Pelodiscus sinensis: one gene and its partner. The protein of the gene in region 1 binds, or shares a complex with, the protein of each later gene. Links are inferred from orthologs where the notes say so. Each region holds a gene or a part of one and is shown in the gene's direction. Other genes may lie near its edges.

Evidence for each region. Proteins that work in one complex are often made in the same cells at the same time.
Region 2: the proteins of DIAPH1 (region 1) and PPFIA3 are in contact, whole or in part, in a crystal structure (PDB 4UWX), measured with the Mus musculus proteins. The link is inferred for Pelodiscus sinensis from reciprocal best matches to the Homo sapiens genes DIAPH1 and PPFIA3. Residues at the interface, in NP_031884.1 of Mus musculus: Lys252, Ser255, Ala256, Ile259, Gln307, Asn310, Ala311, Thr314, Pro315, Ala316, Glu317, Arg322, Gln352, Cys354, Val355, Glu358, Gln359, Glu362; in NP_084017.2 of Mus musculus: Pro719, Arg720, Arg723, Leu724, Arg726, Met727, Ala728, Ala730, Leu731.

Annotation. Positions count from the first base shown.
Region 1 is NC_134727.1:1,073,458-1,081,549, forward strand, and holds the start of DIAPH1 (protein diaphanous homolog 1), read left to right. Parts: upstream 1-5,018; 5' UTR 5,019-5,078; coding exon 5,079-5,180; intron 5,181-8,092. UniProt on the Homo sapiens protein: Actin nucleation and elongation factor required for the assembly of F-actin structures, such as actin cables and stress fibers. Binds to the barbed end of the actin filament and slows down actin polymerization and depolymerization.
Region 2 is NW_027465870.1:75,898-83,076, forward strand, and holds the start of PPFIA3 (liprin-alpha-3), read left to right. Parts: upstream 1-4,092; 5' UTR 4,093-4,231; intron 4,232-7,179. Other genes in the region: LIN7B (protein lin-7 homolog B), read left to right, coding at 129-200, 566-775, 909-1,072, 1,439-1,460. UniProt on the Homo sapiens protein: May regulate the disassembly of focal adhesions. May localize receptor-like tyrosine phosphatases type 2A at specific sites on the plasma membrane, possibly regulating their interaction with the extracellular environment and their association with substrates.

The DNA of each region.
Region 1 (8,092 bases):
AGTTCTGAGATCTCAGCAGTGCTGAGTGGCAATAGTGAATGAGTGAGAATGGCCCGGGATTGGCACACGTGGCAGTATTTCTCTGAGTGATTGCTGTAGCTACTGGAAGTAGGGACCGGTTCTGATCCCTGTAGACGTTTCAAGTGCTGCACGCTCAGACCTGTCCAGTGAAAGTAGCTGTAGAAACACTCTTGCTGCTTCACCAGTGTTCCATGCACACAGGCGAGCTCTCTCTCCAGCCAGCGGAAGCATACTGCAATCCATGGGAGCTGGGCTTCCTTTTGTAAGGGAAGCCTGGGTTTGATGAGCCTATCTAGTGAGGTCATGGCATGGATAACGTCTGTGAAATCGAGGACAGGCAAAGCAGCAGTCCCTGGGTTAGTAAAGAGAAGGTGGTTCTGACCTGTTTGCTGAATGTATTTTGTGTTTTCAGTTCAGCAGTGAAATCCAACAAAAAGGATTGAAATTAGGTGGGTTTTTTTGGGGGGGGGGTTAATGGTTTTTTTTAAAAGTGCTTCTAATGCATCAGATGTGAAGCAATGTACACAAAAAGGAAGGGTTCCTTACCAGTATGGGATTCTCTGGATGCATTGCCTCTGCAGTGAGCCAGGGAAGCCCATCAGAATGGCGAGAGAGATTAGTGGGTGTACATCACTTAGCCTCACACCATTCTGGAGCTAAGAGCACGTATGAAACCTTGCCCCAAGTCGTTTCTCAGTTCCTCGGAGGGTCTGTTTCTGGAAAGGGACGGTTAGCAGGAATCGGTTTAGAACTGAGGCGGTAATACATTCAGTGAAACACCTGTCACCTTCTCTTCTCCCACAACACTTCCTGTGCAAATCCCACTTTAGGAAACCAGTGAGCAGTCACAAAATTTGGGAGGCAGCCTGAGAAGTGCTAATTAGAGGTGGAAGTACTGCACGCCCACAGAGAGATCTGATCCAGCTTCCAGACTGCAGCCAGCTCTACACTGGACCTACAAGGTCGGTTTGAGGTATGCAACTCCAGCTGTGTAGAATACGTAGCTGGAGTGGGCTTACCTTAAGCCGAGCTTGGTATCGTCCACACGGCGGGAGGCTGATGGGAGCAAATACTCCCGTCAGCTTCCCTTCCTCCTTGCGATTGCGAGGAGCGCAGGTGCTGCCGCCCTCAGCATTTGATTTACGGGTCTAAATGGAACCTGCTACATCGAAGGCTGAGTGTCGATCTCGGGTGTGACGAGTGTTATCGTGCCCTGAGAGAAGAACATTTCAGAAAAGTCGAAAGGCAAGCTCGAGTAGCAGCGTAACAGGCTTAGGAACGGACGTTACTTATGCCCGTGCGGCTGCCTTTCCTCCGAGTCCGCCTGGCACTGAGATGACAGTTGGCTCATAAGAGCTGAATATACAACTTGCTCTCAGACAAATCACCTGATCTCTGTGCTCCCTAGCCTGTCAGTGGTGTGACTTGCAAATGCCATGGCTTCTCTACAGCAACCGAGCCTAGGATTTTTAGAGGCGCCTACAGGATTTAGATTAAGTGCGTTTTTAACATCCTACCTCTCCCACTTAGCATCGTTGTGAAGAGCAAGTGTCCCACCTAGTTAGAAAGAAGCCCGGGAACTGAGCAGACTTAAGAGGTAAAATTCTATATCCTTCCTGGGTGCATATACTGGGGAGAAGCCTGCAAAGCCACCTTCTCTCACTTGAAAAAAGTCTGCGAGGAGAAGCTAGAAGGACATTGTGTATCCTAGAGGTAACAGCCATTAGCAATGTACCCTTCAGGGAAATATCACGGAGAGAGCATAAGCTTAAACTCAAAAGGAGCTTCCAGAGGCTTGGTCAGAATTACATTCACATCTTACAGCGTTTTGAATCTATCGGGTGGTGGGTGTGGCGAGGGAGAGAGAGATCTCTATATCCCTATCCCTAGAGGCTTCCAATGAAACTAATGTTAGCAATATATGCATAACTTAGATGCTTGGTAGTTAGCTTGGCTTTGGTGCAATAGGTGCACCAAAATTTTTGTAGTACTACTTGTGTGTGAACGAGAGATGCCAAGTGCAGCAATCTGTTTAATGGAGGATGCAGAAAATCATGGAATTATTTGACATAGTGAGGATCCTCTCATATACCAGAGCGAAACAGAAACGAATACAAAAAGCTTCAATGGGTCTCAAATGGAATTCACCAGAAGACTTTTTAAAATCTGTCAAACTCCAGTCAGAGCAGATGTTGAAGTTACAGCACAGTGATCCCTGGCTCTCTTCTGTGGGGAAGGGGAGCTGTGTAAAAACTGGAAGCTCCTAGGAAGATGTACACTTCAGAATGAAATTAATGAGGGACTTTTCTTTCCACACAGACTTGTTTGTTCTGGGGCCTACCAAGCTGAAGCAGGCATATGGGACACTGCTGTCTTAGAAGCCCATTACAAGAAAAATGGTTGGTACTATCACCCTGGAAATGCCTTGTGCTTTGCAAGACAGGCAGAAAAGATCCATGTGGACTAAATTACATAGCCAGTCCACAGAAGGGAAGCTTTCCACAAATGTGATGACATCTTTATTTTTAGAGTTGTCTGACAAGGCTTTCCAGGAAAGTGATGTGCATGGGCTGGGCTTTGGATGGGTCTGATGAAATGCTTGTAGACTGAGGTTAGTGTTGTACAATGACAATTTCCTGGCTCTGGGTAGCACTGCTTCTCCCTGGGACGCTATGTTCTGAGTGCCATCTCTCCCTCCCTTCCTAGGGTTCATTTCTATTTTCTCTCTGCTTCCGTGCTTTTTTCCAAGGTTTCTTACTGTATAAAGCAGTGAGCAAATGTGAAATATGAGTGAATGAGATTATAAATATCACTCTAATATGTGTTCCTTGTGTTCTTATTTCATTGGTATTTATAGCCCTTGTTTTCCTCTGTACAATAGCAAAGAATCAGAACAGGTTAAATAACATGAGGAACATTGTAAAAGAGTGGACACATTCCAGGAATGTTTCCACTTCAAAACATAAGAATAGCTGCTGGAAGGTTTCGTGGACGGTAGCAGAACTTGTTCAGCCTCTTGGAGAAAAGGCTGAGCAGCTAGCAGCTCTCTCCTGCTGAATTTTCCTCACCATCCTGAGTAGAAGAGGGAGGGATGGAAATGCACAGAGCCTCTGGGCCGCTTCTGGCGTGTGCTTCCAGGCTCAGCACCTTCACTTCAGTACCTTGAATGTGATTTGTTGGTAAAGAGAGACTGTACCAAGCTTGTACGAGCTGTAAGATGCTACAGGCTGCATGTGCAGACAGCCCTCGGAAGGAGGGTGCAGTGTACCCTAGTGATCCATTAAGAGTCTGACTCCGTAAAGGCCCTTTCTTTGGTTATGCTGCTGTTCGAATGCCATGATGGGGGAGAAGAGAGAGCTGAATCTGATACCAGCTTGTGTTTTTTCTCAGTAACTGAGATTTGTAACTTCATTGCAATGATATGTTGTCTGTGTTCTATATATGAGCTTACGGGCAAGCTAGTTAGTACACAGGTCCTGTGTTTTTTCTGACACTAAAGACAAGCTGTTTCTCAGTTTGGCATCATTCTCAGGGTGGTTTCCTGAAAAAGAGAGGGGGAAGCTGATCCCTCAGCTTGGTGTGGTCCTTGATTTTTAGTAATTTTAGGGGTAAGAAATGCAACTCAGCAACCTTCATGCAGTTTAAATGCCTTGTGCTTTATGAAAAGGGGGAAAAAATAGCAGAGGTGGTGGGATAGGTAGTGGTGATGGGTCCCACTCCTGCATGCAGATAGGTCCCACTACCAGCTGTAAGGCATTATAGCCGCTTGCCAGGGCCTGGCTAGAAAAACTGAAGCCTAGTGCTCAGTGTGCCCAGGGCTGTCAGTCCGTCGCTGAGGACACAGGGGCCATGCAGGCAGGACCACGCTTGGGCCTGCTGGAGCTGATGCCTGAGCTGGCAGCAGCTGGGTCTCAGTGGGTAGGGTGTGTATGTTCCTCCTGCCCAGTGGGAGCACATCAGGGGGGAGGTTCCACCTGCCCTGCAGCAGCTTAGCCGGGGTTCCATGTGCCTCGTAGGAGCTCAGCTGGGGGAGGGGGGAAGAGTACCACATGCCCTGCGGGAGCTCGGGGAGGGGGGGGTTCCACGTGCCCTGTGGGAGTTCAGTAGGGAAGGTTCCACATGCCCTTCAGGAGCTCAGTGGTGGGGGTTCCACCTGTCCAACGGGAGTGTGTGTGTGGGGGGTGTTTTCCACATGACCTGGGGCAGCTCTGCCGGGGGTGAGATTCCCCATGCCCTGTGGGAGTCGGAGTGGGGTTTCCACATGCCCTGTGGGAGCTCAGCTGAGGTGGGGGTTCCACGTGCCCTGCGGGAGCCCGGGGGAGGGGAGGGTCCACGTGCCCTGCCGGAGCCGGGGGAGGGGAGGGTCCACGTGCCCTGCCGGAGCCGGGGGAGGGGAGGGTCCACGTGCCCTGCGGGAGCCCGGGGGAGGGGGGGTCCACGTGCCCTGCGGGAGCCGGGGGGGGGGGAGGATCCACGTGCCCTGCGGGAGCCCGGGGAGGGGGTCCACGTGCCCTGCGGGAACCGGGGGGGGGGGTCCACGTGCCCTGCGGGAGCCCGGGGGAGGGGGGGGTCCACGTGCCCCGCGGGAGCCCGGGGAGGGGGAGGATCCACGTGCCCTGCGGGAGCCCGGGGGAGGGGGAGGATCCACGTGCCCTGCGGGAGCCCGGGGGGGGGGGGGGTCCACGTGCCCTGCGGGAGCCCGGGGAGGGGGAGGATCCACGTGCCCTGCGGGAGCCCGGGGGGGGGTGTGTCCACGTGCCCCGCGGGAGCCGGGGGGGTCCACGTGCCCCGCGGGAGCCGGGGGGGTCCACGTGCCCCGCGGCCAGGCACTGGCTCTCGAGCGGCGGGGCAGCGCAGGCCGGGGGCGGTGGGGGCTCCCGCCGGCAGGGGGCGCTGCGGCGGCGGAAGCGGCGCGCCGCCCAGGCCGGAAGCGGAAGCGGCGGCTCATGAATATTCGGGCGCTCATTGACAGGCTAATGAGCGGCTGCATGCGGAATGAGGCGGGCGGGGCCTGCGCGGGGCGGTTGGGCGGCGGGGCCTGAGGAGCCGGCGGCGCCATGGAGGGCGGCGGGGGCCCGGCGCGCGGCGGCCGCGACAAGAAGAAGGGGAAGGGCCCGGAGGAGGCGGGGCCCGCGGACCCCGGGAAGTCCAAGAAATTCGTGAGTGGGGGAGGGGCCGCCGCGCGGAGCCCCCCCGGGCCGGGACACCCCCCCCGGGGCTGTGAGCCGGGACACCCCCCCCCCGGGTCCTCGAGCCCCCCCCCCCGGGGCTGTGAGCCGGGACACCCCCCCCCCCCCCCCCGGGCTCTCCCCGCCCCCCCCCCCCCCCCCCCGGGCAGAGCTTAGCGCGGGCCCCTCGCTGAGCCGGGACTCCGCCGGGCGCGGGCCGCTCCGGGGGGAGCTCAGGCCGCGAAGGAAACGCCCCGCAGCCCGGGGAGCCCCGCCGAGGGGAGCGGGCGGTGCCGCACACTGCGCTGCTCAGCCCCCGCTCTGCACCCTTGGGCAGGAAGCGAAGGGACGGGCCTTGGGCGGGCGCTGCAATGCTTCCAGCTGGAGTCACTTGAAACGTTTGTGGGACGTTTAATCGTTCGTGTCTGTTGTAAGTCTCTGAGGCAAAGAGCGCGTGAGGAGGTTTCTTTTTCTCTGAGGCCCTGGCTGCTGCGGGATGCAAAGAACCGGTATTGGCAGCCTGCAGTCCATGGACCACCTGAGGCCCATCAGAGTTGTGTGTGGAGTCCACAAGACATTGTGTTTTCTCTTGCCCATGTGCAGGGTTGCCAGAGTCCCTTGCTTTCCTGTCTGTATTACTCACATGACACACACACAAAGTCAGTGCACAGGAAGTGAGGCGTGTGCTGATTGCACACAACTTTGACTGCGAGAGCCGTGCACTCTCTTTGTATCCAATCACAGCGCTGCTTCGGTTCAGTCGGTACAGCCCGCAAATTCTAGGTACTCAGGCACAGTGAGCAAAACTAGCTTATCCCAGGAGATTGTCTTGGTTATGACAATCTTGTGTCCTACTGGGATGTAGGGCCACTCATGCGGCCCATTCACTAGCCTTGGTTGCCCATCACTGGATTAGAGGCTTGTTCTGGCTAAGAATCTGCTGTGTCTGTAGAAGGATGGAGCCAAGTTGGAGGTGATTCAGAGAAGAGCAGTCAGAATGATTGAGGGACTAGAGGCATTCGTCTGAGGAAAAATGAAGTGCCTGTAGTTAGGAATGTAAAAGTATAACCATTTAAACTGTTAATCATATTCACAGTAACATGGAGGCTCCCACCCCACTCCTGGACTGCAGGCAGGAGCCTGCTATCATCCTGCACTGCTGCTGCCTCTGATAGAAAGGTGGCAGCACGGGGGCGGGAGCCGCCTCCCCAGGAGTGGGGTGGTAGGCACTGCAGGTGCATGTAACTGCTGAGATTTTCAGTGATTACAGAATTACCTAATTACCCGCTTTTTAACATCCCTATCTGTAGTTCAGTGTGGGTGTGTAGCCACAAGGAGGGGGAATGATCCATACGATTATGAAGGATATAAGAAGAAATTGTGAACTATGGTTTAGTATGGAGAGAATAAAAGGAACACAGCTTCAAGAATGCAAATAAAACCAAACTCCCTTCCCTCGCTAACCATTGGAGAATATTTAAACTGGAATTTTAAAAAAAATACAATTTGCTTTTTATGTTTTTTGAATTATGTACAATCTCATTTTTAAGAATTAAAACTAAAACCAAGCTGCCTCTTTTCTTAAGGCGAAAGAAGACTGCATATCAGAAACCATTTGTTAATAAGACTTTTAGTCTATGAAATAGTCTTTAAGGTGCCACAGGACACCTTGTTTTTGCTGAAACAGATCAACACAGCTATCCCTCTGAAAGGAGTTCCAATTTGCATAGGTTTCACCACATTCCCCTGAGAGACTAACAGCTTTTGTGGGCTGGAGCCCATGCATCTGTCAAAGTGGGCTCCAACTCATGAAAGCTTATATCCAAATACATTTGCTAGTCTTCAAGGTGCCAAAGGATGACTTGTAAATTTGGACTATTGCTCAGGAGAAAATAGAGAACAGTTCTGAAGTGGCCTTTGAAGGAAAATGGGTCTGGGTTGGAAGCACAAATGGACATAGTTGCTTTAATAGCTTTTCTTAGGCTGTGTCTGCACTTGCACGTTGCTCCACAAAACTTGTTCATGGGTGCTTAAGCCCATTCTCCCCTCCCCTCATTGGCATTGGTGTGTGCCGACTTTTAGCAACAAGGCTGAGTCGACACAACCCTGTCGCAAAAAGCTGTGTAGTGTAGGTACATCCTCAGTCTTTACTTTTTTTTTTTTGCTTTTTGTGATTATATGGGCTCTTCCACCCCCTGCTTTGAGATGTAGAATAATTGTGTCAGGAGAGCTGGATTATTCCCTTTTACATTGTAGCTACACTTGCACTTGTTTGACACAACTTTTGTCATTCACAGGTGTTTAACAGCAATCATCTCCCCCTTTCCTCAGTGAATGACAAAGTTTTGCCCTGGCAAGTACGTGAACACTCCTGCTGACGGAGCAAAGCCTGGTCATTGGAGGTTAGAAGTGTTTTGTCAGGAAAAGTACTAAGAGTGTTCACACACACACACACTGGCTTTGAGACAGGGCTTTGTCGACACAGCCTTGTCTTTAAAAAGCTGCGTAGTGTAGAGATGGTGTCCCTGGCTTCTGTTTGTCTGGGAATGGGCGATGGAAGGGATCCCGTGAGGATTCTCTGTTGCATTTCCTCCCTCTGGGGCACCTGGTGTGGTCCTCAAGAACATAAGAACGGCCAGACTGGGTCAGACCAACGATCCATCTAGCCCAGTATCCTGTCTGCCGACAGTGGCCAGTGCCAGTGACCCAAAGGGGGTGGACCCAAGACAATGGTCAAGCAATTTGTCTCCTGCCATCCTTCTCCAGCTTTTGACAAACAGAGGCCAGAGGCACCATTCCTTACCCCCTGGTTAATAGCCTTTTATGGACCTAACCTCCATGAATTTATCTAGGTCTTTTTTAAACTCTGTTATAGTCCTAGCCTTCACAGCCTCCTCTGGCAA
Region 2 (7,179 bases), on another chromosome or scaffold:
CAGCCCCCGTGCCCTGGCCCAGCCCCCCCCCCCATCTCCCTTCCCCTGGCATTCGATGGTCACTGTCCGGACTTCTGGGATCCCCAGCCCTCGCCCTGACAGCCCCTCCTCCTCGTCTCCACCACCAGGTTTATGAGCAGCTCTATGACACGCTGGAGATCGCGGGCAGCGCCGAGATCCGGGCCCATGCCACGGCCAAGGTACTTCTGCCCCCTGAGATCTGGGCCTAGGTGTGCCCTGGGGACCCTCTGCCCCCGATATCTGGCCCAAGGTATTGTCCTGGACACCCCAAGATGTGGGCCGAGGTAACCCCCTCCCCCCAGGAATCCTGCCTCCTGGGTTTTGGGACCCTGTGAAATCGGAACCTAAGTAACCCCCTGGGAATCCCGACTCCCTCCCCACCGGAGACCCTCTGGCTCCTGGGATCTGGGCCTAGGTCCTGCCCCCCAGGGATCCGAGCTGCCCCTGAGGCCTGGGCCTAACCTTAGGGACTGGGGCAGAGGTGCGGGGCGTAGGGTCCCTCCGCCTGCCCCCCCCCCCCAGCACCCTGGGTCTCTGCCCGCAGGCCACGGTGGCGGCGTTCGCGGCAAGCGAGGGCCACGCCCACCCCCGGGTGGTGGAGCTGCCCAAGACGGACGAGGGGCTCGGGTTCAACATCATGGGCGGCAAGGAACAGAACTCACCCATCTACATCTCCCGCGTCATCCCTGGCGGCGTGGCCGACCGGCACGGAGGCCTCAAGCGGGGCGACCAGCTGCTGTCTGTCAACGGCGTGGTGAGCGGGGGAGCTCGGGGGCGGCTGGACTGAGGGCGCAGGGAAACTGAGGCAGCGAGCGGGGGAGGGCATCCGCGGCGGGAGCGTCCGTCCCCTCTGACCCTGCCACGTGTCCGTCTGTCCGGCGGTGCAGAGCGTGGAGGGGGAGCAGCACGAGAAGGCGGTGGAGCTGCTGAAGGCGGCGCAGGGCACCGTGAAGCTGGTCGTGCGCTACACGCCCAAGGTGCTGGAGGAGATGGAGGCCCGCTTCGAGAAGATGCGCACGGCCCGCCGGCGCCAGCAGCACCATAGCTACTCGTAAGGGCCCCCCGAGCCCCCCCTCACCCCCTGCAGGGGCCAGCAGTACCCACAGCTACTCATAAGAGCCCCCCAAACCCTCCAAATCCCCCTACATCACCAGTGGCACCGCAGCTATTTGTGAGGGAAGCTTCCCCCCAAGCTCCCCAACCGCCCCGATTCCTCCTCACATCCTCCCCAACCCCCCCACTGGCGCCAGCAGCACCACAGCTACTCGTAAGAGCCCCCCCCCACATTCCCCGCCACTGGCGCCAGCACCCTGCTACACCTAAGGGCCTCCCAAATCTCCCGGTACCAGCACCCCAAAATCTCGCTGCTCCCCCCGGTTTCTGCTGCGACTCATGTCTCCCTCTGTTCTCTCCCCAGGTCTCTGGAGTCGCGGGGATAACCCCTGTCAGGTCCCGTGCTGGGGAGGCTGGGCCCCCGCCCGGCCTCCCACATCTCCCCCCAGTTTTTCTGTGGAGCTGGGTCTATTTATCGGGACCACACCGGCCCTGCCGTGAACCGTATTTATTTATTCCCCTATTTAAAACTGCCCCTTGTGCGTGAGCCGGTGGGAATCCGGCACCCGAGACTCTGGTGGTCGGGGGGGGGGGGAGGGCTCTGCTGAAGGCAGGGAAGGGGGGGGAATCCCGGAGAAATGCACTGCCCCCAAACCACCCACTGTACGGGATTCGCCTTCACTTCCTGTCCCAAATTCTTGTGTGTCTTTGCCCCTCGACCCATCCCAGTGCCAAGCGAGGGGTCCCCGTGTGCCCAGCCCAGAGGGGCCGTGTCCCGGTGCTGGGCGAGGGGTCCGCGTCTGCCCTGTCCCTGCACCCCACCCCAGAAGGGCCCTGATCCAGTATGTGTTTATGGTGCAGTTCAGTGAGTGGCCACCAGGTGGCGAACTCGCTGCTTGGGGGGGTGGGGGATCACTGGGGTATGTCCTGTGTAGGGTGTTAGTGCCCCTCTCTCCGGCCAGCAGCTCGGCCCCGGCCCCCCACCCCTGCCGGTGCCCCTAGCTCCTGCCTCCAGCTCTGCTGGTGCCCCTCACTCCTGCCAGAAGCCCCTGCCCCCCCCAAGCTCTGTCCCCCCAGCCCTGCTGGTGCCCCTCACTCCCAACCTGCAGCATCATTTCTGGTCCCTGACATCCCCCATAGCTCCCTTCTCCTGCCCCTTCCAGGGCAGGTGGGGCTGAGCTCCCTGCCTGCTCCCCAGGTGAGCTGGGGGTGGGAAATGGAGCTTGGGAATCAGGGATGCGCCCCTCCCTCAGTGAGTCACCCCCCTCAAGTCTGTTTTTCTGGTTTGGCTGCTGAGTCTGCCAGGGAACTACAAGGGTGAGATTCCCAGGGAGGGAGTCAGAGGGTGCGGCTGGGAGCCAGGACTCCTGGGTTCTCTCTTGGCTCTGGGAGGGGAGTGGAGGCTAGTGGTTAGAGCAGGGGGGGGTGCTGAGAGCCAGGACTCCTGGGTTCTCTCTTGGCTCTGGGAGGGGAGTGGAGGCTAGTGGTTAGAGCAGGGGGGGTGCTGAGAGCCAGGACTCCTGGGTTCTCTCTTGGCTCTGGGAGGGGAGTGGAGGCTAGTGGTTAGAGCAGGGGGGGGTGCTGGGAGCCAGGACTCCTGGGTTCTCTCTTGGCTCTGGGAGGGGAGTGGAGGCTAGTGGTTAGAGCAGGGGGGTGCTGGGAGCCAGGACTCCTGGGTTCTCTCTTGGCTCTGGGAGGGAAGGGGAGCCAACGGGTGCCTCCCGCTCTCAGTCCCTGCTGTCTGTCCCTCTTCCAGTCACAAACGTTCGTGCCCTTTGCTGCGGCTCCCGCCTCTGCTGGAAGAAGGGGGGGCTGCCTGACTGTGAATAAAACGATGCGACTGAGTCTGGGGTGTGCATGTCTGTGTCCTTTGTGCCTCGATCCCGGGGTGGCCGCAGTCCCTGCTCGCGGAGCATGACCCCCAGGGGGCAAAGGGGGACTCGCTGGGGCGAGTGGAGAGGTGATTTCACTTCTGGCTCTGGCTGTGGGGCAGCCGCTCCCGCTGTGTGGGGAAGGGATGTTTGCTCCAGGCTCTGTCCGTCTGCCTGCGGCAGGGCTAACGCCATCCTCGGCCCCAGTGTAGAATCAGGTAGCTAATGAGGTGGCCGTTTTTCCCAGACCAGGAGGTTGTTCCCTAGCTTGCTCCCCGGACCCTGGGGGAGCTGCCTCCGGTGGGCTGACAGCCCTGCCCTGGGCCACACAGGAGCCAACTCAGGGCTGGGGGGGTGAGGGCCACAGCCAGGTGGTCCTAGGCAGGGGGAGGTTTCTGGGGTTCATGGAGTTAGCAAGGAGAGGGCATGGAGCTGGGGGGCCCTCCCTCCCTGGTCCCCCACCGTGGGGCGGAGAGAAACCCAACCCCCCGGGGACCTGACCCTGCGGGGCCAGGCTGGTACCCACACAGCGGTGTTTCCAGGGATGCTGGCTCGGGGGCAGGAAGTGCAATGTGGGGCAAGCCCTCCCCCCCCCCCCCGGGTGGGTTGGACAGGCTGGTGCTACCTGCCTCCACCCTAGAACCATCCCCCAATCTTTGCACCCCCTAGGCAGCCTGCCCCAAGTTTGCTGGGACAATTCCCTGGGGGGGGGAGGTTTCCCAGAGCAGGGGACTGGAGCAATTCGGGGGGGGGATAATTCCCGGGGGGATGCATTTCCTGGAGGGGGGGCTGGGATAATTCCCGGGGGGATGCATTTCCTGGAGGGGGGGGCTGGGATAATTCCCGGGGGGGATGCATTTCCCCAGGGGGCGGGGTTGGGGCAATTCCCCGGCGTGTGATTTGCCCCTATGCCCCCCTCCCGCCCGCCGCACACCGGATGACATCATCCTAAAAGTGAGCCCCGCCTCCCGGACTCCCTCATTGGCTCCCCCGCCCGGCAGCCCCTCAGCCATTGGCCGCCGGACCCCGGCGCTCGGAGCCGCCCCCTCCCACCCCCGCGCCTGGGAGGGACTTTGCGGCCGCCCCGGGCTCTGGCGGCCGCCCATTGGCGAGGCGGCCCGTCCTTCAGGGTTCCCTTAAAGGGGCCGGCGCCGGAGAGGCGGGGCGGGGGGCGGCGCGGAGGGGCCGGGAGCCGCGTCCGGCCGGGCTCCGGCAGCGCGGGGCGGGGGAGGGGCGCGACCCCCGGGCGTCCGCCGGCTCCGCAGCATCGGCACCGGCCGCCGCAGGTACGTCCCTGCCCTCCCCCCCTCCATCCCTGCCCTGCATCTCCACCTCCTCCCCCAATGCACCCTCCCAGTCCTGCACCCCTCCCCCTCCATCCCCTGCCTGCATCTGCACCCCTCCCCAATGCACCCTCAGCCCTGCACCCCCCCCTCCATCCCCTGCCTGCATCTGCACCCCTCCCCAATGCACCCCCCAGCCCTGCACCCATCCCCAATGCACCCTCAGCCCTGCACCCCCCTCCATCCCCTGCCTGCATCTGCACCCCTCCCCAATGCACCCTCAGCCCTGCACCCCCCCATCCCCTGCCTGCATCTGCACCCCTCCCCAATGCACCCCCCAGCCCTGCACCCCTCCTCCTCCATCCCCTGCCTGCATCTGCACCCCTCCCCAATGCACCCTCAGCCCTGCACCCCCCCTCCATCCCCTGCCTGCATCTGCACCCCTCCCCCGCATGAACCCCCCCAAGCCCAGCCATCTCCCTCCACCGCCCCACTTCATCTCCTCCCATCCCCCCAGTCGGGCACCCCCCACGGTGCAAGTCAAGCCTCTCCCCCCTGTATACACCCCTCGATCTGCACCCCCGGCCCTTCTCCCCTCTCCCAGCCACGCACCCCCCCCTTGAACCACCCTGGCCATGCATCTCCACCGCTCCCCTCATCTCCCATGCCTGCCCCCCCCAGCCTGCAGATGCACCCCATCCCGCTGCGTCCTCCGGAGCTCAGCCCTGCGCCCCCCATGGCCTGTCCCCTCCCCCAGCGCACATCGGCCCCCATCCCCCGACGTGCACCTGCTTCCCCCCCCCCCCCATGCACCCCTCGGCTGCTGCCGGTAGGAGCCGGGACAGCTCCCTGCCCCCCTCCCCCACTGGCCTCCGCAGCATCAGACTCGCGGCGCTGCAGGTAGGAGCCGGGCCGTCCCCCGCCCCCGCCCCCAGCCCCTGCCCGGCCCCTGCCCTCCCCCCTTGCCCGGCCCCCCCCCACTTTCCCCAGCCCCGCTCCCTAGCGCCCTGCCCCCCAACGCAGCCATCCTCCTGTGTGCACCCCCCTCCCGCTGCCTTCTCTGACCCCCTCCAGCCTCTGTCTGCCCCCCATACTGCCCCCGGGGGCCCTGTGTCTCCCTCCATGGATGGGGGGCTGGCTCTCTGGGGGACCCTCTGTCCCATTGCAGGAGAAATCTACAGGGAGGGGGCAAGGCAGCTGGACCTTGTGGGGGGGGGGGGGGACGATCCCAGCTGATTCTGCGGGGGGGGGGATGCTTCAAGGGGGCTGGACAGCTCCTCCACCCTTCCCCCAACTGCATTGTGTTCCTTGGGGGTGGGGTGGGGAGAGGCCCCCCCCCACTTGGATTCTTCACTCCTCTGGGTCAGAGCTGCCCCCCTCCACGGATCCACCCTCAGGGAGGGCCTCAGCTCCGCAGGAGTATGTGGGGGGGGTGACCCCAAAGTTTGTGGGGGCACAAACCTCCTGATCCCTTCCCAGCGGATGCCAAACAGGGCTGCAAGGTCCAGCCTGGGGGGGGGGGGCATGGAGACACGCATGTAACGCTGCCCATGCAGCCCCCTTCGGCCCTGCCATGCACGGATGTCGCCGGTGCCCCCTTGCCCTGGCTGCCCCATGTGAGCCAGGCAGGCGTGGGACAGGCATGTAACCGTACACGCGTGTGCCGGGGCACCCTCCACTGGGGCTGGGAGTGTGGCTGAACCCCTGGGGGCATCCGGCTCTGTGTCCCCAGGTGGGGGCCATGGGGGAAGGGAGAGTAGGGGGTCAGCGTGTTGGGGCGTGTGTTGGCGTGTGTCTGTGCACAGGTACCATCTGAGTGTGTCTGGGCATGGGGGTGAGGGGCACCAGTCTCGTCGCTGTCTATAAATAACCCAGACGAGGGAGGTGTCTGCAGGCACAGGCCCTGCGAAGAGGAGGGGGCTGTGTGTGTGTGTGTGTGTGTGTGTGTGTGTGTGTGTGTGTGTGTGTTGGGGTATTGCTCTTTGCCTGGGTGTTGCAGGGTCTTTGCACCTTGTACTTGTTGCATTGTGGGTAGGTGTTGCGTTGTCGGCAGCATTGTGTTGTGTGTAGCACTGGGCGTGTTGCATTATGGGTGGGTGTTGCAACGGGTATTGCTAGTGCAGTGTGCTGTAAACTGTAGCGTGTGTGTGTTGTGTTATTGTATTGCAGGTGTGGGTTGTTGCATCATGGCTGTGTGTAGCATTGTGTTGGTAGTGTATGTTGCTGTGCATATGTGTGTGGTGTTGTCTCACTGTTGCATTATGGGTAGATGGCATGCTGTGGCATACATTTTGTGTATTGCATTGTATTAGTAGCACGTATTGCTGTGTGTGTTGCATTCTCACACTAGTGCTTTATGTGCAGGTGTTGCATTGTCTGTAGCATGTTGCATTATGTGTATGTTGTGGCACGTGTGTCGCACGGTTGCACTGGGATGGTGTGTTGTGTGTGTCGCAGAGTTGCACTGAGGCGCTGTGGTGTGTTGTGTTTGTTGTGTGTGTTGCGGGGTTGCACTGTGGGTGGCTGTTACATTGTCCCTGTAGAATGTGGTGTTTATGTTGTAACGTGTGTTGCCCGGTTGCACTGGGGCGCTGTGGTGCGTTGTGTGTGTGGCGGGGTTGTACTGGGATGGTGTGTTGTATGTGTGGCGGGGTTGCACTGGGGCGCTGTGTTGTGTTGTGTGTGTGGCGGGGTTGCACTGGGATGGTGTGTTGTGTTGTGTGTGTGGCGGGGTTGTACTGGGGCGCTGTGTTGTGTTGTGTGTGTTGCGGGGTTGTACTGGGGCACTGTGTTGCGTTGTGTGTGTTGCGGGGTTGCACTGGGATGGTGTGTTGTGTGTGTGGCGGGGTTGCACTGGGGCGCTGTGTTGCGTTGTGTGTGTGGCGGGGTTGCACTGGGATGGTGTGTTGTGTGTGTGGCGGGGTTGTACTGGGGCGCTGTGTTGTGTGTGT